Sus scrofa: one gene and its partners. The protein of the gene in region 3 interacts with the protein of the main gene of each other region in a pairwise test. Links are inferred from orthologs where the notes say so. Each region holds a gene or a part of one and is shown on either strand. Other genes may lie near its edges. The genes, in order: EIF4H, CSDE1 and C2H11orf68.

Region 1 (7,092 bases), on a different chromosome or scaffold from region 3:
ATCAAGTAGGCACTGAAATGGCAGCTGTGTCTTTATACTAATGAATTAAATATAACAGGTCTTCAGTGACCTGCCTTCCTTGGGTCACTGAAGAGCTGTTAGTTCTGACTCTGAATGACTTCAATATAACCCAAGAGGGGCTTTAAGACACAGACTGCAAATTCGATACCAAACATGCTTTGAAGGAAAAGGCTAAATCTACCTATACTCACTACTCAGGGAGCTGCATAAAAAAACATATACCCTTGGCAACAAGTGCATCTTCCTTGGGATGCCAATTAATTAAGGAGAGCGGACGGAGATGCAAGCATGCTTTACGGACAACCTGAGTCCCTGATGCTAGATTCTGACAGAGGCCTGTAAGCAGAGAACTCCAGACAGAGGAAACCCCGCCCTCTTTCTCACCTTGAAGGAATAAGCCTTTCCTTCTACCTTCAGCATTCGTGTCCATGCCCCTTCCTTGCCATCTGGGTCAAACACTCCCTCTGCCCCGTATGCTCACTGCACCTCTATTACCACCCCTCCCCATGCTGTATGATGATGACACTTCACCTTCAAAGCCCATTAAACTGCAAGTGCTTCAAAAGCCTGAGGCCAAACTTTTTTGTTCACCATGTGCTTATGTAAAGAATATACTGCATAGGAGTTCCCGTCATGGCGCAGTGGAAAAGAATCCCGCTAGGAACCATAAGGTTGTGAGTTCGATCCCAGCCCTCGCTCAGTGGGTTAAGGATCCAGCATTGCTGTAAGCTGTACGGTAGGCCAGCAGGTACAGCTCCGATTTGACCCCTAGCTCGGGAACCTCCATATGCCATGGCTGTGGCCCTGAAAAGCAAAAAAAAAAAAAAAAAAAAAAAAAAAAAAAAAAAAAAAAAGGAATATACTACTTAGGTGGAGCTCCCCTCTCCCCATCAAGCCAATTCCCCTCAGTGGATTCATTCACTGTTCAGGGAAGTGAGAAAACCACTTCCAAGTTCAAAGAGGCAACACCAGCCTAGTCACACATCTCACATCCTGGAGCTACTGAAACTACCTCTGCCCTTCTATGAGACAAACTCTAAAACCTGCTGCTACCGACCCAACCCAAAAGGCAGCTTCACCCACACATTTTTACCTTACAATTGGTTCTTAAGGCTTCCCAGCAGTGGGACTTACCTTTACCAGCTTTACTGATGTTTGTTTCCACTGTCTGCTCACTTACTATAACAAGGCCTTCTTTAGGTTCTTAAGTCAGAAAGCTTTCAAAATGACAAAAATATATACAGAGCCACTCTGATGAGCAGCAGCTATGCTTCTTGTACACCCCAGTCCCTCTACTTTTCATGAACACACTTCTTTCTGGGTAATAAAGCAAACCAAATGCCCTGTATCTTGCACCACACACTGAAATACAGGGCATTTTGGTTCCGGAAGCCTTGCAAGCGATGACAATGCCCATGTGATTCCTCATTCTCACCCCTTCTCTACCCGTGATTAACCTGCAGTTTGAGTCAACCCCTCCCCACACGCAGGCTCTGAAGTCACAAGTGTATAATGACAACGTGCACTAGGTTCCCTTTTGGACTCCATAATAAACTAGATTATGGGAACACCACCAAGGAAAATGCATGTGTCAGCCAAGGTGCGATGCACCTGAAAAGTCCTGGGTTTTAACCATTCATTTATTGTGCAGTAACTCCTTTTCTGGCAGAGACAGGCTACTATATAGGCCAGGCAAACTCCAGATTTACTTGGCTATAGGCTACCTAATTCTACAAGCTAGATTATGTATAAACCATGTCCCCTCCACCCGCAACAGAACTGAAGACCTATGAGTTAAAGGGCTAGCTTATTTTATCTGCCTGGATCAGGCAAATGTTTGAAACACTTTCACAATTACAGCCTCTTGGTTTAGACCCTTCCCTGCCTAAAATAGTGCACAGTAAAAAATCCCCAAACTCACCTTTAAATTTGTCTGTGTCTTTGTCTCTGACTAGCCGTACACTCCTTATGCTGAGATCCTTAAAGATAGCATCTATGTCGCCCTGAACCGTATTAAAAGGTAGATTTCCTACATAGGCTGTGTAGGGGGGCTCTGTGGGCAGCTCCTTCTGGCTACGGGAACCATGGCCACCAGCACTGCCACGGGACCTAGGAGGGAAACAGACAGGATTCAAGTCTGACCACCTGTTCCTGCCCCAGAGGGCCAAGGAAAACATCTCCCACTCAGCCACACCACCCAGGTGAAATAGTCCTATCTAATGCATACAACTACTTCCGAAATGATGACGTGTATTCCAAAAAAATCACCTATGAAAAAGGTGCTTACTTGTGGATGACAGAAATGTCCACAGAAACACAGAATCTATGTCGACATACATTTCCCTGAAAAATCAAATCCAAATATAACATCCTCCTGTAATGGTTCTCTCCTATCCTTGTAGGAGGAGAGAAGTTCAGCCAGTGCCCTCCCTCATACTCAGTGCTGACACACACAGAAACAGACTGTCCACTTACTGCCCTGAAGCTGAAGTTTGACACATTCATAATACAACTGTCTTGCTACGGTCTGATTAGAGATGCTATGCTCTAACAGAAATGTTATTAGCAGAGTTCTCGGGGTGGCTCAGCGGCTAACGAATCTGACTAGGAACCATGAGGTTGAGGGTTCGATCCCTGGCCTTGCTCAGTGGGTTAACGATCCGGCGTTGCCGTGAGCTGTGGTGTAGGTTGCAGATGCGGCTCGGATCCCACGTTGCTGTGGCTCTGGCGTAGGCTGGTGGCTACGGCTCCAATTCGACCCCTAGCCTGGCAACCTCCATACACCACGGGAGCGGCCCTAGAAAAGCCAAAAAAGCCAAAAAAAAAAAAAAAAAAGTTATTAGCGTTTGTGGAGCAAGTACCGTGTAAATACCACTCTCCACTCCATGTACTGCCTCCCTGACGCTTCAATTTTATTTTATCTTATATTTATTTATTTATTTTTCTGGTCTTTCTGCCACTTCTTGGGCCGCTCAGGCGGCACATGGAGGTTCCCAGACTAGGGGTCGTATTGGAGCTGTAGCTGCCTGCCTACGCCAGAGCCACAGCAACACGGGATCCGAACCACATCTGCAACCTACACCACAGCTCACGGCAACACCGGATCCTTAACCCACTGAGCAAGGCCAGGCATTGAACCCGCAACCTCATGGTTCCTAGTCGGATTCGCTAACCACTGAGTCACGATGGGAACTCCCCTGAGGCCTCAATTTTAGGGTGCATATTAATCCATTTAAACCTCAATGTCACTTCCTTAGCTATGACAAGAGGTGTTTACTTGTCCATGGTTGTAGGGTTTAAAAGTGGCAAAGGCGAGATAACTTGACTCTTACCACATCATTGCTAATTTGCAGGGGTACTGGTTTAAATCCCAGCTCTGCCACATATGCACACCACCATATAACCTTGAGGAGTTACTCAATTTCTCTAAACTTTATTTGGAAATCTGGGTTTATACTAACCAAGACCTTGAATTATTGAGAAATAATACAAGGTGCTCCATATACTGCCTGACACACAGTACACATACGCAGAGTAGCAGTGACCATCACCGCAACAGTGACCACTGCCATCTACAACCTGAGGTTCAAAGTGTTTGACAGATAAATTTCTTTTTGGCTGCAAATGTGGCATGCAGAAGTTCCTGGGCACGCAGGGAATGAACCAATGCCACAGCTGTAACCCGAGCCACAGCACTCATAACGCTGGATCCTTAACCCACTGAGCCACAAGAGAACTCCAATAATTAACAAATAAATGGGGCCATTATACATTTGTCAAAGCCCATAGAATGTTCAGCACCAAGAGAGAACCTTAACGTAACTTAGTGATAATGACACTATCGATGCAGGTTCACTGACGGGACAAGTGTACTGCTCTACTCTGGGGAAGCAGTAGATAGCAGGGAAGCTGTCCCCCTATGCATTTGTGAGGGCAAGGTTTTGTTTTTTGTTTTTTGTTTTTTGCTTTTTAGGGCCACACCCATGGCAGAAGAGGTTAAGCCATGGAAGTTTCCAGGCTAGGGGTCAAACCAGAGCTGCAGCTGCTGGCCACAGCCACGCCAGATCCCAGCCATGTCTGTAACCTACACTGCAGCTCATGGCAACAATGGATCCTTAACCCAGAGTGGGGCCAGGGATAGAACCTGCATTCCCATGGATACCAGTTGGGTTTGCTGAGCCACAATGGGAACTCCAACACTTTTTTTTTAAAGCAGAAGGACCAGGCTATGATATAATCCTTAGCTAAAAAATTTAAGTTTAATAACTCAGAACTCTGCTACTTCCCAATAGAAAATCCTTCATTCTGTCCTAGAAATACCAGAAAAATAGGTTTTCAAGTGACCATCACAGCAGCAGTGACCACCGCCATCTACAACCTGAAGTTCAAAGTGTTTGATAGATAAATTTCTTTTTGGCTGCAAATGTGGTTTATAAGTTTACTTATTCTGCATTCCCATAACCATAAAACCTAAAATATTTTCAGCAAGATATTCTTTGGGACTGGATATTGAACGTGTAAGATACCAAATAACATTTGGGGAGTTCCCGTGGTGGCACAGTGGTTAACGAACCTGATTAGCATCCATAAAGATGCCAGTTCGATCCCTGGCCTTACTCAGTGGGTTAAGGATCTACAGCTCTGATTCGACCCCTATCCTGGGAACCTCCATATGCCACGGGAGCGGCCCAAGAAATGGCAAAAAGACAAAAAAAAAAAAGAAAAAAAAAAAAGAAAATGGAGGTATGGCGTTCCCGCTGTGGTGCAATGGGATCAGTGGCATCTCTGCAGTGACTGGACACAGGTTTGATTGACACCGTGGGTTAAAAAGGACCAGGTGGTGCTGCAGTTGCAGCATAGGTTACACTTGCAGCTGCAGTCTGATCCCTGGCCTGGGAACTCCATATGCCGAGGGGTAGCCAAAAAAAAGAAAAACCCCATAATATCAATTGTGTGAAGTCTATGGTAGATTAGGCCTGCTTCAGAATACAATGGTCAGGAAGCAGCAGACTGACCTGTGGTATATAAAACAGGCCAACATCCTGTGAAACTGGATTGGGATGATCATTATACAACTACAGATGCGGTTAAAAAAAAGAAAAGAAAAGAAAAGAAAATAGGCCAACAGATGAGGCAAAGCTGGAGGTCTGGGTAGACACCTCCCCGTCCCCCAACCCTGCAGTTCAGAAAAAGAGACCTGGAGTGCCCGCCATGGCTCAGTGGAAACGAACCTGACTAGTACCCATCAGGATGAGGGTTTGATACTTGGCCTCCCTCAGTGCATTAACGATCCAGCGTAGCTGTGGCTGTGGTGTAGGCCAGCAGCTGTAGCTCCAATGCGACCCCTAGCCTGCGAACTTCCACAAGCTGGCAGGTGCATCCCTAAAAGGACGACGACAACAAAGAGAGACCTGATAATCTGTGCTGCTAATTCCCAGGCCCTATCACCCCCACCGCTGAGCAATGGTCCCCCCTGCTCATTACTGCTGCCCATAGGAGACAGTCTATATGCAAATTTTAAAAGTAATGACTATATCCTCAGTAATTTAAGAAATTCAACTTTCAACTCCAGGTGCGATTTTCCAAAACCCATTACAGACAAATCACTTTTCTTCATTCAAATCAATAAAGTAACAATGTCTATTAAATACGGAGCACCATGCTGAGGGCACAAACCTGAGATTCGGTTCCTACCCTCAAGGAGACCATAATTCAGCCAAGGGGGTCCAGGCACCTAGAAAGGGTAAATCACATCCCAAGTAAAGGACTGCAGAAAATTCAGGAGAAAGCAGGGTGCACCATTTGAGCAAAAGGAAATTGGATTCTATTTTCCAGACAGCAGACAAAACACTGAAGTCTAAGATGGTAACATATAAGTGAAGATACATAGGAGAGATTAGAGGAAGCATGACTACAAGAAAAAAAGAAGAGAAGAGAATATTAGGGCTGAGATTAGATTTGGTAAGCGGCTGAAACAGAAGATCAAGTGCTCAAGACCTGCTTCCAAAGTATAAAAATATATCAGTAAAATACAATAAAAAATAAAGGACACGTGCTGTTATTTCTGGGAAACAATTTTTTTTTTTTTTTTTGGTCTTTTTAGGGCTGCACCCATGGCATAGGTAAATTCCTAGGCCAGGGGTGGAATTGGAGCTGAAGTCACCGGCCCATGCCACAGCTGCGGTGACATCAGATCTGAGCCACGTCTGCAACCTGTAACACAGCCCATGGCCAATGCTGGATCCTTAACCCACTGAGTGAGGCCAGGGATTGAACTTATGTCCTCATGGATACTAGTCAGATTTGCTTCCACTGAGCCATGACGGGAACTCCATTTCTGGGAAAGAATTTTACAAAGATTTTTAGATGCATTAGAAACTATACCGGATTTACATACGGTTGCTATCATTCTTAAAACTTTAAGACCAGTGCCAAGATACCATGACCATAAGAGTATTAACCTCTCTGGTATTTGGAACACTGGGTGCTCTGCTACTTCTGGGTGATATCTGAGGTAGTTCATCAGGGCTCATCAACAACTTTCACGTGCTGTCCCGAAATACTTATGAGCATACTATCCTGTGGCATGAGGCACTATCCTAGAGCCTACATAAAATCACAGTAAGACTGCCTTCATGAGAATACAATGCAGGGAGTTCCTGTCATGGCACAGCAGAAACGAAACTGACTAGGAACCATGAGGTTGCGGGTTCGCTCCCTGGCCTTGCTCAGTGGGTTAAGGATCCAGTGTGGCCGTGAGCTGGGGTGTAGGTTGCACATGCGGCTCGGATCCTGTGTTGCTGTGGTTGTGGTGTAAGCCAGCAGCTGCAGCTCCGATTAGACCCCTAGCCTGGGAACCTTCATATGCTGTGGGTGCAGCCCGGGAAAAGACAAAAAGCAAAAAAAACCAAAAAACAAAAACAAAAACAAGAAAGACAAAAGAAAAGAAAAGAGAAAATAAAATGCACATAAGCAATAAAGACAAAATCCACTGGGCATACTTAGGGAAAAAAAAAAAAGAATGTGTAAACTACTTGGTTTCTAGACAATAAAGAAGCTTAGGTTCTCAAA
Region 2 (7,092 bases), on a different chromosome or scaffold from region 3:
TTTTTTTTTTTTGACTGGTAGGTTGTGTGCGCTGTTCCTCACAACTTAGAGAGTAAATCTCCAGCTGCCCCGGGTCAGAGTCCAACAGGGAGTGTATGCTACGAACGTAATGGGGTAAACTTGTGTATTTTTCTTAAACCTTTGCCTGATCCACCATGTGATCTATAAGCGTACTTTAAAATTCAAAATAGAAAACGTAAGCTGCAGTTGATAAAAATCAGTTTTAAATTTGGTTTTGAAGAAGCGTTGAGTGCAGCATAATCAAATTTAAAAAGAAAAAAATCCATAGGACTTCCAAGTGGTTTAGTTTGCCCAAGTGTGACCTTAGTTAGAACATTAAGGTAAAATGCTTCTTTTACTCACTTTTTTGGGGGTTGTGGGAGGGGATCTTTTTTCTGGTTTCTTTTAAGCACTAACTCCAGCTTTTTTGTTTGGAATGCCTTATATAAAAATTGTTTTTTTGAAATATAACTAGCCTTTGGGCAAATGCTTCCACGTGTCTAAACTTTTTGAAGTTGGATTGCTACTCAGCTGTGGACTCGCAGAAGTCATCAGCACCATGGAGGGGAAGTGTGTATTTATATGAATAAACTATGTACTTGTCAAAAGGCATTTAATTTTTAAAAATCTGGCTTAAAATGCCAGTTTAAGAAATATTTAACAAAGTAAATCACAGTATACAGTGAACATGCATCCTGCCAGTATAGTAATAATTACTTGTTAATTCACAGGAAGTGTTTTATCTGACTTACACCCCTGAAGATGTCGAAGGGAATGTTCAGCTGGAAACTGGAGATAAGATAAACTTTGTAATTGATAACAATAAACAGTAAGTTCTTTTTTTCCACCTAAATGATTTTTTTTTTCTTTTTGAAGTAGGAAATTTGGGGCACATTAAAAACCAGACCTGTAAATCTGGATAATTTTCATGATCTTTTAAACTTTTTATTCATCAGCTAAGCATTTGAGGGTCAGTTCTATGACAGGCACTGTAGGGTGTCCGAAATAAGAAGATAAAGAGAGTTCGCTGGTAGCCTGGCACGTTAAGGATCTGACATTGTCAGTGTTGTGGCATGGCTTTGATCTGTGGTCTGGAAACTTCTGGATGCAGTGGATGTGGCCAAAAAAAAAAAAGAAATAGGTAGATAATTAAAACATAAATTATGTTCTAATTAAAACATTAAAATAGTTCCAGAGCTTTCAAGGGGCTGGTCTAGAGCTCAGAAAGGGTTTTTCCAAAGCATCAGTGCTTGAAGTAAGTTTTGAGATGAGGACTCATTAGGGAGATAAGGAAAACCTTTTGGGTAGAGGAGGTATCATTTGGGAGAAGTAGCCAAAAGTTTGAGTTGTTTGAATTGACTGTATCATAGAAAGATGAAATTTGAACTTTACTCATTAGTCATAGCAGTTTTTGAAGGATTTTAAATGGGGGGGGTATATGGTTGGTTTTAATTGTTGGAAGTGGTGGAGATAGGGTAGGCTTTTGGAGAGTAGGGATGCTGTAGGCTAGAGGCAGTGATACGAGAGTTAATATGAAAGATGAGGGACTAATATAGATAGGCCATGAGTGTTTTGATGTAGAAGGTAGGTCATCTTGAGAAGTTTTTTAACTTTTTTTTTTTGCTTTTTAAGGCCACTCTTGTGGCGTATGCAAGTTCCCACGCTAGGAGTCGAATCAAAGCTACAGCTGCTGGCCTACACCTCAGCTCACGGCAACACCAGACCCTTAACCCACTGAGCAAGGCCAGGCATCAAACCGGCGTTCTCATGGATCCTAGTCCAGTTCAGTAATTGCTGAGCCACCAAAAGGGAACTCCACAGAAGTTGTTTTTGGTTTTGGGTTGTTTTTTTTTTTTTTTTTTTTTTTTGTCTTTTTAGGGCCACATCTGAGCCATATGGAGGTTCCCAGGCTAGGAGTCGAATTGGAGCTTTCGCTACCAACCTACACCACAGCAACGCCAGATCCTTTACCCCCACTGAGTGAGGCCAGGGATTGAACCTGTGTCTTAATGGATGCTGGTCAGATTCTTAGAAGTGTGTACTGGAACTAAGGTATTGGGAGTCCCAAGTGCCATTTTTCTGGCTTTAGCTACTGGATAGATGATACTGTTAACTGGAGTAAGGAAAGTCCAGAAATAATTAATACATAACAAAGTATTAAGAGGGGGAGAAGAATTGTCCTTATTTTGGCATTTTGGATTTGAGGTGTCTGAAGACCTTGAATATGTAGCTCCATGTCTGTATAGGCTAGTGATGGGCAGGAAATAGAGCTGTTGAATTCATTGGCATAAGCAGTTAGGGAAAATGTAGTTAAGAAAGCCCCAGCATAATTATTTTACTTTGGAGCCAGAGAGTCAGATACAAGTAGGGAAGAAAGTTAAAAATAGAAAGCTGGAGAAAGTGTTAGGAATGGACTCTCGTTGGCAGTATAGGAAAGTCCCAAGAGTATGTGCAGAATTGTTAACTTTGAACCTTACCTCTTGTAAGACTAGAAGGAATCTGCTTGTTGTAGGTATGGATAGTACTAGTCTGAGGCCAAATTTAATCTCAGGTAGAAAATAAGGGAAAAGGGCTTGAGTTTGAGGGAGTGGGGAGCCAGTGAAAGGGCTTTATTTAACCTTTAGTAAGTTTTGTTTTTTTGTCTTTTTGCCTTTTCTGGGGCCGCTCCCATGGCATATGGGGGTTCCCAGGCTAGGGGTCTAATCATAGCTGTGGCTGCTGGCCTACACCACAGCCGCAGCAATGCAGGATCCGAGCCATGTCCGCGACCTACACCACAGCTCACGGCAATGCCAGATCTTTAACCCACTGAGCAAGGGCAGGGATCGAACCTGCAACGTCATGGTTCCTAGTCAGATTCATTAACCACTGAGCCATGATGGGAACTTCATAACCTTTGTTAAGTTCTTGAATGTGCTAAGCACTACTATATTTTATGTACAGTTGTTAATTCTCAGAACAGCCTCACTTGAGATAAGTTTCTTCATCTGTAAAATGAGCTTTGTTGTCATAAAGTAACTTGCCTAAAGTCATACAGCTTTTAAACTGACATTGGAATGCCAGTCTGGCTCTACATAAAGCCTTTTCACTGTAGTAAGTTGCAAAAGCAAGTAGGATTTTTTTCTAGTATCTTTGTTGGTCTGTTAAGTTTTTTTTTTGTTTTTTTTGTTTTTTTTTTTTTGTCTTTTTGCCATTTCTTGGGCCGCTCCCGCGGCACATGGAGGTTCCCAGGCTAGGGGTCAAATCGGAGCTGTAGCTGCCAGCCTACGCCAGAGCCACAGCAACACAGGATCCGAGCCGCGTCTGCGACCTACACCACAGCTCACGGCAACGCCGGATCGTTAACCCACTGAGCAAGGGCAGGGATCAAACCTGCAACCTCATGGTTCCTAGTCAGATTCGTTAACCACTGCGCCACGACGGGAACTCCTGGTCTGTTAAGTTTTTGAAGTAAAAAGAACAGTTGGGCTAAAATTTGTCCATAAAGAATTAAGGAAAGTAATTGCTTGGTCTGTAGATATTGAAAACAACTACACCAACAAATACTATTACATCTTATATATACTGTCCGTACCATCTTTAAAGCAGAATCAGATTTACATTGCTGCTGCTGAAGGATGGGGACATATAGTAACATGTGATGTATCTGTTTTCACTGGAAGTGAGTATCATTCTTTTTCAAAGTATAGCAAATTTCTCACTGTTGATTCATATTTCTTTTATGGCTATTTAATCAGAAGTAATTGATGGGATAGCTACTAGATTTAGCATTCAATGCAGACAGGACCATTTGTTATTTACTTCTGTATCCCCCATACCTTTGTTCAGAGCACATAGTTCCTGTTCAATGTTTGTTCAACTTAGCATTCCCTATCTTTGGTTGCAACCAGTTCATGACCTTATTTTAATAGTCCAAGAGAACAATTTACATGTATGTGTGCCCGATTTAAAAGACTAGGGAGGGTCTTTCTGTCTCAGCGCAGCGGAAACGAATCCAACTAGGAACCATGAGGTTTCGGGTTCGATCCCTGGCCTTGCTCAGTGGGTTAAGGCTCCAGCGTTGCCGTGAGCTGTGGCGTAGGCTGGCAGCTAAAGCTCTGATATGACCCCTAGCGTGGGAACCTCCATATGTCGTGGGTGCAGCCCTCAAAAGACAAAAAAAAAAAAAAGGCCAGGGAGTTTGAGCAGTAAGTCTTTTGAATAAGGAATCATATGAAAAGAATTATGTATTATAAGCTTTATATTCGCTCTTAGTGATGATATAAAGTTCTCGAGGCCTCAGAAAACTTGTTTATTGTTTCTCTAAACTCAGATCTAACCAAGCCATTTTGTTTTTCATCCCTGTTTGGTCCCCACCATCCCCATCCCATTATTTTTTTTTCCAGTACTGGTGCTGTAAGTGCTCGTAATATTATGCTGTTGAAAAAGAAACAAGCCCGTTGTCAGGGAGTAGTTTGTGCCATGAAGGTAAGTGTTATCAAATTTGAGAAACTTGAGTTTTTTTCTTTGACTGCTTATACTTCAGATCCAAGTCTTTTCTTTTTCTTCTTTGTCTTCTTTTTAAACATATTTCATTAACTTCAAAGGTAATCTTAAGATTTTTTGGTTACTAATTATATTCTTTAAAATGGGCCATCAATGGTATTAATGTTAGACTTTACCCCTTTTTCCACTGTAGTAGTGTTTTATGAAAAGGCTTATTGATTGTAAATGGTAATCATAAGTGTGCAAGTTGAATAGTACATAATATTTTTGCTGTTTCTTCATGCTTGTTTCGCTTTAGGAGGCGTTTGGCTTTATTGAAAGAGGTGATGTTGTAAAGGAGATATTCTTTCACTATAGTGAATTTAAGGGTGACTTAGAAACCTTACAACCTGGAGATGACGTGGAATTCACAATCAAGGACAGAAATGTAAGAGTTGACTAACTGGCTCTTTGGTCTTCTTTTAAGGTCAGTAATGAGTTAAAATTTGAGGAAACAGTTAAAATGACATCCCTCTTCCCACTAAACTCTTTTTGATTTAGGGTAAAGAAGTTGCAACAGATGTCAGACTCTTGCCTCAAGGAACAGTCATTTTTGAAGATATTAGCATTGAACATTTTGAAGGAACTGTAACCAAAGTTATCCCAAAAGTACCCAGTAAAAACCAGGTGAATAATTTTTTTGCTTTGTTTTGTTTCCTTCAGAAGAATCATCTTTTGCCTCATTAGTAATAGAATAATATGGTGGTTACGGTGTACAGAATTTGTATTGCATTCAAGTAATATAATTTTGTGATTATAGAACATATATTTCCTAATATGTATGTTTAAATAAGAAACCATTGATATATCCATGAATATGCTTTTCTTTCTTTTTTTTAAAACTGGATGATACAGAGAAAGGGACAAAAGAAAAAATGCTGGTTGGACTGGAAAAAAAAATAGTTCGAGTGTATATTTCCCAGTTTTGATTTTTCAGAGGGAAGGAGATGAAACCAGTGGTATCATTGCTAAGGAAATGTAAAGCATAAAATACTGAAGTTCTTTTTCTTAAATAAAATCTCTCAGTATCAGAGTGCAGGATTGTAACTTCAGTATTGTGGTTTATGATTGTGTCATGTGACCATAGAACACCAGGCTTTCACATTGGACTTATGTTATCAACACCTTTTTTTTTTTAGGGGATTATATATTATAAATAACGTGGGTTTGCTATGTGTTCTTCTTGTTTGACTTAAAACTAGGAAGGATGAGAAATCTCCAGCTAAAATAGTTTTTCCTTCTCATCAGAATGACCCATTGCCAGGACGCATCAAAGTTGATTTTGTGATTCCTAAAGAACTTCCCTTTGGAGACAAAGATACAAAATCCAAGGTGACCCTGCTGGAAGGTGACCATGTTAGGTTTAATATTTCAACAGACCGTCGTGACAAATTAGAACGAGCAACCAACATAGAAGTTCTATCAAATACATTTCAGTTCACTAATGAAGCCAGAGAAATGGTAAATATTGGTTATTATTAGATACGTATTCAGTGTAAGGGGCAGGCAGGGCAATGTTATATTCAAGTTCGTAATATGGTATTGAAAATTCTTGAGTTATGACAGTATTGGGTAATTACCTCATTAAGGTGATAAGAATACAGACATTTGAGTCAAATCTGGGTTTGACTCCTAGCTCTGCTAGATGTCTTGAAATGGATGAGAAAAGGTGTTTTGTATTGTTTTGTTTTTTTGTCTTTTCTAGGGCCGCTTCCCGTGGCATTTGGAGGTTCCCAGGCGAGGGGTCCAATCAGAGCTGTAGCTGCTGGCTGACACCAGAGCCACAGCAACTCGGGATCTGAGCCTCGTCTGCAACCCACACCACAGCTCATGGCAACGCTGGATCCTCAACCCACTGAGCAAGGCCAGGGATCGAACCCAAAACCCCATGGTTCCCAGTCGGATTCATTAACCACTGTGCCACAACGGGAACTCCAAGAAAAGATTTTATTTTGAATGAAGAGCTAGAGAGGATGATTTCTAAGGCCTTTTGAGAGTCAGTAATTCTCTGGCCATTAAATCTGAAGACTAGAAAAATTTAAGTGCATTACTGTAGAAAGTAGGTTTTCCATAAGATGTTTAGGTTCCATAAGATGTTTAGTAAACACTAGATTAAACGAAGTTAAGTAGTCTTTGTTACTTTTATTTTTGCAGCAGGAGTTTGCAAATCCTTTTTAATGGATATATGTCCAGAAGTGACAGATGGGGAATTGTTGCCCAAAAATATTTTACAACTTCAGTTTTCATGAATTAACATTATCAGTTCTGTTAGGGATCATAACATCTACAGTATATCTCGGTGTTAATAGAACTGTATACATTCAATGATAATTTAAGTTTCTTGAGACTTTTTTTTTTTTTTTTTTTTTTTTTTTTTGGTCTTTTTAGGGCTACACCCATGGCATATGGAGGTTCCCAGGCTAGGGATCTAATTGGAGCTGTAGCCACTGACATAAGTCACAGTCACAGCCATGCCTGATCTGAGCCATGTCTGCAACCTATACCACAGCTCATGGCAATGCTGGATCCTTAACCCACTGAACAAGGCCAGGGATGGAACCTGCATCC
Region 3 (7,192 bases):
GGAGCCCCTTCCATCAGCACTCACGTCTGTGGGCAACCCGGACCTCTAGGCTGCCCATCGCTGCCCTGGCCTCTCCAGGCCGCTGCTCCCTGAACACAACACATCCGCCTCATCGGCCTCGTATGCATAGCTCCAGGGTCTGCTCAGGGCCCCTGGGGGCTCACAAGCCGGCCTTCCAGGTCCCCCATGACCTCACCTACCTCTGCTCCCGCTGCCCTTCCCACATGCCCTTCAAGGGCACTGGCTCCAGCTCTAGTTTTCAAGAGCTGTCTCTGTCACCTGTCCCATCTGTCTCTCTGCAGCAGCCCAGAGGGGGCAGAATGGTCTCCCTCAGAGAGACAAGAACAGGCTACTCAGAGTAGGAACCCGCCCAGGGTCACAGGGCACAACAAGACAGGCTGTCTCCCGGCATGACTGGCACCTGCCGGCTCAGGCCCTCCAGCACTCTGCCCACCTTCCCGCCATCAGCACCCCGGGCCCGGCCCCCTTCAGTCAGCTGCTGCCCAGCCGCCCTGGCCCTGGCTCAGTGTGGGGAAGGAGGCCATTAGGCCCTGGACAAGAGCTGGGACGGATACTGGAATTCCCTTTTATTTTTTTTTTTAATAAATTTAAGAACAGCTCTACCCTCTTCCCCCCAGAGCAGCTAAAAGGGGGTGTGGCCTGGGGGGCAGAGGGCGCTAGGAGTCATAATCTTCTTCGTCCTCTGCGTCAGGTGCTGCGGGGACCTGGGGCGCTGGGGGCAGAGGCAGAGTCGAGGTGAAGGGCGTGAAGGGTGTCGGGGGGCTGCAGGGCAGAAAGTGGGAAAGGAAGATCAGGCCACTCACCTGTGCCCAGTCCTGCCCGCTGAGCCCCACCCGGTCCTCCAGCCAGGCAGGCCTGGAGCCCACTGCCCTCTACCAGCAGGGAGCCGAGCCCAGAGAAGGGAAGGACCCAGGGCACACAGCCCTGCCCGGGGGAGGGGACTTTCTGAGAGCACAGAACCCAGCCGTTAAGTCCTCTTCAGTTCCTCCCGTCCCGTCTCCCAAATCTGCCACAACCAACAGAACCAAGGCGCCTGAGCGGTCAGAAAGGACAAGGCAGCTGGGGACCAGCTGGCCCCCTCTGGGTGCCACCGACCTGCTTACCTCTGAAAGTGGGCAGGGGGCTGGCTGGCCTGGGATGGGGCCTGTGATGTCTCCTCTTCCCCATCAGTATCTGTATCCTCAGACTCATCCTGGGAACAAGACAGGAATCAGAGGCGACAAGAAAGGCGTGGGCCCATTACTGGAAAGCCGGACCTCTGCAGCCGCCATGTGCAAGGCAACCAACACAAAGAGGTCACAGGTGAGGATGGGACCAGGCCTCCAGCCAGCTGGGCCTGGCCTGATGCAAGGCTGCCCTCTCCACCCTGCAAGGCAGGACAGAGGGCTGGGGCCTCAGCTCACCTCCTGCTCCGAGTCTGTCCCCGACAGCTTCTTGTCCTTGCCTTTGCTTCCCATGCCACCGTTCTTCCGGCTGCCGCCGCCTGGCTTCCGGCCCCTTCGGGAAGGTGGAGTCCATCTGCCCAGAGGTCTCCCCACTCCTCTGCCATCCCCCAAGACACCTCCAACCCCGGGGGCCTTGGCCTTCCCCACATGGACACTGACTCCCCACCTGCGAGGACCCTTGTCCCCGTCCATGTGGTTGTCTTCCCCATCTCCCTGCATGTCAGGCACAGAGGCCACCAGATCCTTTAAGAAGTCAAACTGCTGCTCCAGCTCAATGCACTGCTTCCTGGAAGAGGTGGGGAGGGAATGGCACTCAGGTGAGGCACAGATGTCTGTACTCTCAGCAAAGTGCTCTCTGGATGTCAGGGGAACAGAGCCTGGATCGTTTCAATCCCAGCCATGCCCCCTTTCTTAGAATACCCAGTCCCTGCCAACTCAAACCTACCAGCCTTTGAGTCCTCGCCCAGCCGCCTCCCACCTCCCTCCCTATCAGGGCACAGCCTCCCCTAAGCGTGTGGACTCCGGGCGGAGGCCCCACACGAGCCCTCCCAGATCGGAGCCACTCACAGGTGGGATGTGGTCATGGTCTTGGCATTTCTAGACTGGGTCACTTGGCAGGCCTTCTTCAGCAGTGACTCCAGGAAAAGCTCGAGCGCCCGAGCTGAGGGTCGTCAAGGCGAACGCGGGTTCTAACAATGTCCTGGCCCCCAAAAAGCGACCCGGGGCTGCCGGCCTCCCCCGCCTCCCTCAACCCAGCCAGCCCTCGACAGGATACAGATGATGACAGGCACAGCTGCCGCCACCTTCCCAATCTCTTCATCCGTCTGCATTATCTTCTTGATGCGTGCCTGAGGAAGGGGCAGAGAGCTCGGACCCCGTCGCCGCGGCCCCCGAAAGGGTGCGCGGGGCGGGGGGCAGAGAGAGGGAGCATCCCGGGAGGAAGGGGGCGGGGGGCACCGACGCGGAGAGGGCACGGAAGGGGGCGGGGCGTCCGGGCCCCCGAACGGCGCGATGCGCCCGCCTCCCTGGCCGGGCCTGGGCCGGAGCCTCCCGAGAGCCCGGCTCGTTCCTCCCGAGGCCGGCCACGTGCTCACCGGCGGGAACCGCGCGTTGTACTTCTTCTTCTTGCTCGGCATCTCGGGGCCTCTCTCGCCGCGCCGGGCCCAGCGCCGCCGCCCGCAGCCTCCCGGCCCCCGGGCCTGCTCGTCGCCCGCCCGCCGCGGTTCCCCCGGGTCCTGGTGCCGCCTCCTCCGCCCCCGCCACTCCCCCCACAGGGTCCTAGCGCCGCCGGTCAGCACTCGGCCGGCGGGGCCCGAGCGCCCTCCCCTCACAGCCTCCCGCCCGGTGCGCGTCTGTCCGGGACTGGACGGCCGCGACCGCCCGCCCCCAAGACCTGAAGAGCGAACGTTAGCTCCGCCCCCCGCAGGCCCGCCCCGCCTCGCGTTCCCAATGGCCCCGCCCCCGGGGTCAGCACCGCCCCGACGGCCCTGCCCCTTCCCCCCGGTCCCGCCCTATGCTGCGCTTGTCTATAAAGTTGTTGTTGAGGCGGCGGGGCAATAAGATGGCGGCGGCGGCTGCAGCCGTGGCGGGGGCGGGGCGCGGCGGCGGCGGCGCGGAGCCCCGGCAGGAGCGGAGCCGGGCCCGGGGCTGGGCCGGCGCCGAGCGCAGCGAAGGCCGGAGGTGACGCCCGGGCGGCGGGAGGGGGCAGGGCGGGGCGGGGCAGGGGCGCTGCTCGGGCCGTGAGCACTAATGGCGGCGGGCGCGGCGGGCGCGGCGGGGCGGGAGGCTGGCCCTCCCGCAGGCTCTAACAAGCCTGGGTTCGAGTCCGGGCTCGGCCCGTTGGCCTCGGATTGGTCACTGCCCTCTCTGGCCTGCATGTCTTCGTCTTTAAGTAGGCGGGATAACGCCCGCCTGGAGGCCTGGCCCTGTGGGGCCTGTCGGGGTGCCTCGTTCCATTACATCCCAGCGCCCGGGAGACCCGCCTGCCTTGGCAGCGTCGGGAGCCGCAGCTGGGCCGGCGGCCCCCACACCCGAGTTCACTTTTCGGCCCTTTCACGCACTGCAGGTGTGACCTTGGGTAAGCCCCCTCCTCTGTGAGCTTCAGTTTCCTACTCTGTAGGTCAAGGATAGTAGTGATAATAGTAACAGCATTTATATAGTTCTTGTTCCACCTCCTAGTATTTAATTCTCTACAGCTGTTTGAGACGGGAGCAGCTATTTTTCATTGTACAGATGAGGCAACTGAGGCACAGAGACATTAAGTTTTGCCCAAGGCCGCAGGGATTAGTTCAGTGCCTGGCACCTACGTGCTCAGGCCCAGGAAGCTGGATCTGTCCTGGACCTGCCCTAACTTGGTTCCCACCCGGCAGGATGGAACCAGGCGAGGAGCTGGAGGATGAAGATTCTCCAGGTGGTCGTGAAGATGGCTTCACTGCTGAGCACCTGGCCGCAGAGGCCATGGCAGCTGACATGGACCCCTGGCTGGTGTTTGATGCCCGAACCACACCTGCCACGGAGCTGGATGCCTGGTTGGCCAAGTACCCACCATCCCAGGTTACCCGCTATGGGGACCCTGGCTCTCCCAACTCTGAGCCCGTGGGCTGGATTGCAGCATATGGGCAGGGCTATGTCCCCAACTCAGGCGACGTGCAGGGCCTGCAGGCAGCCTGGGAGGCTCTGCAGACCAGCGGGCGCCCCGTCACACCAGGTACCCTGCGCCAGCTGGCCATCACCCACCACGTGCTCTCGGGCAAATGGCTGATACACCTGGCACCTGGCTTCAAGCTGGATCACGCCTGGGCTGGCATTGCTCGAGCCGTGGTCGAGGGCCGGCTTCAGGTAGCCAAGGTGAGCCCACGGGCCAAGGAGGGTGGGCGGCAGGTCATCTGTGTTTATACGGACGACTTCACGGACCGCTTGGGTGTACTGGAGGCAGATGCCGCCATCCGCGCGGCAGGCATTAAGTGTCTGCTCACCTACAAGCCTGACGTCTACACCTACCTGGGTATCTACCGGGCCAACCGCTGGCACCTCTGCCCCACTCTCTATGAGAGCCGTTTCCAGCTGGGAGGCAGCGCCCGTGGCTCCCGGGTGCTGGACCGCGCCAACAACGTGGAGCTGACCTAGTGGGACCAAATGGAAGAGACCACCCACTGCCTCCCCTGCGGGGGACGGATCCTCTCGTCTTCCCCCTCCTCGTCCCACGGAGGCCAAGCCCCCCAGCTCTGAGGACTAGGTTACTCGGAAACTGCCTGCATCTTCGGTCCCTTTGAACTTTGGTCCTGTGTTCAGGGCTGACTCGAGTCCTCACTGGCTGGAGGCTCTGGCTCCCTGAGGGCCGGACCCTCAGCCTCTCTTTGCCGCTGCTCCCCCCTGTCATCCAGGACCACGGGCTGGGTGCAGACGCCAGGAGGAGAGCCTGCCTTGGCTGCTCCCTCCCCTGGCTCTTCCCTCCTCCTGCATCCTCCCCTTCTCTCCCTCCCTCACAAGAGAGACAGCCTCGTGCTTCCATCCCTCTCCCTGGAGCCTTCACGGTCTAGGGGCAGAGGCCCCCGCAGGCCTGAGCATGCCATTTTGTTGGGGACGGGTGATTGTTCCCACTCAGCACCTGGCAGAGAGAGGGGGCCAGGGCCATGGACATGGGGCCTGCCCCTCCCTGCCACCTCAGAGCCCCTACCACCTTCCCTCTTTCTTTGGCTACCTTATCATGTGCCTGCTTCTGGCATTTCAATAAAACCCAACTTGGGTCTGTGTCTTGAGTGTTTAAAATGCTGTGCTGGTGGTTTCCTGCTTTGGTCGCTGGAGAGAGGCAGGGCCAGCAGAAACTGTGCCTGGGCCCCATAATTGCCAAGGCTGGATACCTCTCTGAGAGCTTCTGCAAAGCCAGCTCTGTGTCCCTTCCATTCCCAGAATCAGAATCCATTTGGGGGTAATCTCAGTGATGACCCATAAATCCAAGGGCTTGGCCCAGCAGCTCTGAGGAACTGTGCCCACTGGGCGTATGTGTGTCTGTTAGAGAAAGGTACCCTTTTGGTCCTGACAGTTTTAGGCCAGGGCATATGGTCTGGTGGGCAGAGGATGGGTTGGGTTTCTGCTGCCTAAGCTGGATATCCTTGTGCAGTGAACAACCTGCACAACCGTAAGTAGCCCTGGAAGTCCTTCGTTTACACTCACCTCTTGCACTACCCTGAACATCGCAGAGGCCACTAGACTGTTTGCAAAGCACTTCATGTGGATTATTTCATTCTCGCGACCTGACAGGAGATTTTGACCCAATTTATGGTCAAGAAAATGGAGCCCAAGAGGAGAAGGGCGTTCCCTCAGGGTTATGCAGTGAGCTGGGCAGGGCAGAGTTAGAACTTGCACCCCAGTCCTCCTTGGGCAGAGTGTGGTCCCTGGCCTCACCTACAATTAGCCCTTCACAGCCCAGCAGCCACGTTCACTCACGTGACCTCACAGGCCCACACCACTCAGCTGAGGCTGCTATGGCTTCTGGCTCCCAGCCCCCAGCCCCAGCCCTGGCTTTGGCCTTGATTGGAGGCCAGGGTGTCTGGCAGGGAGCCCCTTGGGCTGCTGCTCTCGTGCTGTGCAGGCGCTGACTCAGCCTCCAGCAGCCTCATCAAATTGGAATGTGGGACAGGGGAGCGGAGATGCCACTAGGCTGACTGGGTGGAAGTGGGTGAGTCACAAGATGCTGGCTTGGCCCCCTCCCCAGCTTCCTCCCCACCCGGAGCTTCCCCAGAGCTGAGTCCCCCTCAGCCCAATCCTGGGAAGTCCCCAGAGTTGGGTGGTTGAGTTGGAGCCTGGTGCCCTGCTCTCCTCAGACTGTCCGTGCCTTGCACTTGACCAAAGTGGGCCAAGGCTTGGAGGGATCCTGGCCAGGCCCCCGTGGGCCCCACAAAGATGCCCAAGTGGTGTCAGCACCAGCTGGCTCTCCTTCCATAACCAAGCATCTCGCATACTCTATCCTCCCAAGGCTCTGCCTTAGCCCCTCCCTTGCAACGTGCCTCCTCTGCCCCATTCTCCCCGCCACTCCCCCCTCCCTCCCTGACAGCCAGCTGTCCTGCAGAGTGGCCTGTGTCCCTCGGGGCTACTCAGAACCCTCTGTGGCTCCCACAGCCTGCAGCTTAAAATTCATTCTCCTGAGTCACCATGGCCTAACACCCCCTAACTGTCCCAGCTTCTCTCGGGCGCCCCTTTCTGAACGCGCTTTCCCTGCTGGAACCAACTGGTGCGCCCCTCACCCCACCCCCAGTGGCACGCAGTCCTGGGCCTCAGCTCTTCTGCGTGAACACTTGCCTTGCGGTGAGGACGCAGCAGCTACTTATGTAATCACTGGACTGAGGGCTATCTCCCGCTGGCCCCTAAGCCATGTGCCCGGACCGTGTGCCCAGTGAAGACAGAACAATGTGTAGGCCTCAGCTCTATCCCCAGAGAGCCTAGCACGGGTTGTGGCCAGAGCAGCCTTTGCAGAAACGATTGAATGAATGAGCCACTCCAATCCAGCCCCTGACAGTGGCTCCGGCCTCATCTCTCCTCCACTCCTTGCTTCACTACTTCTTGTTCCAGAATCATGTGTCATCATACCCGCTGGCCTTTCTCACTTTTGCGCCTGTTTTCACACTGTGGGGTCCACCTGGTACGAATGACCCTTACCTGCTACCTGCCTTCCTGGCTGACTCCAGAGGGCAGGTGTCATCCGCTCAGAGGTTTCCCCTCCCCCATCC

What was found.
Region 1: the proteins of C2H11orf68 (region 3) and EIF4H interact in binary tests that used the Homo sapiens proteins (3 or more experiments, as listed by UniProt). The two-hybrid records come from large-scale screens. The link is inferred for Sus scrofa from reciprocal best matches to the Homo sapiens genes C11orf68 and EIF4H.
Region 2: the proteins of C2H11orf68 (region 3) and CSDE1 interact in a two-hybrid assay, tested with the Homo sapiens proteins (2 studies listed by BioGRID and IntAct). The link is inferred for Sus scrofa from reciprocal best matches to the Homo sapiens genes C11orf68 and CSDE1.

What each region holds. Positions count from the first base shown.
Region 1 is NC_010445.4:11,332,660-11,339,751, reverse strand, and holds part of EIF4H (eukaryotic translation initiation factor 4H), read right to left. Parts: intron 2,131-7,092; coding exon 1,943-2,130; intron 1-1,942. UniProt on the Homo sapiens protein: Stimulates the RNA helicase activity of EIF4A in the translation initiation complex. Binds weakly mRNA.
Region 2 is NC_010446.5:105,823,142-105,830,233, forward strand, and holds part of CSDE1 (cold shock domain-containing protein E1), read left to right. Parts: intron 1-21; coding exon 22-114; intron 115-731; coding exon 732-829; intron 830-4,385; coding exon 4,386-4,467; intron 4,468-4,783; coding exon 4,784-4,912; intron 4,913-5,025; coding exon 5,026-5,151; intron 5,152-5,772; coding exon 5,773-5,985; intron 5,986-7,092. UniProt on the Homo sapiens protein: RNA-binding protein involved in translationally coupled mRNA turnover.
Region 3 is NC_010444.4:6,409,053-6,416,244, forward strand, and holds C2H11orf68 (UPF0696 protein C11orf68 homolog), read left to right. Parts: upstream 1-2,893; 5' UTR 2,894-2,979; coding exon 2,980-3,146; intron 3,147-3,196; exon of another isoform or gene 3,197-3,543; intron 3,544-3,835; coding exon 3,836-4,592; 3' UTR 4,593-5,234; downstream 5,235-7,192. Other genes in the region: DRAP1 (dr1-associated corepressor), read right to left, coding at 678-783, 1,125-1,213, 1,425-1,752, 2,034-2,127, 2,242-2,314, 2,561-2,602.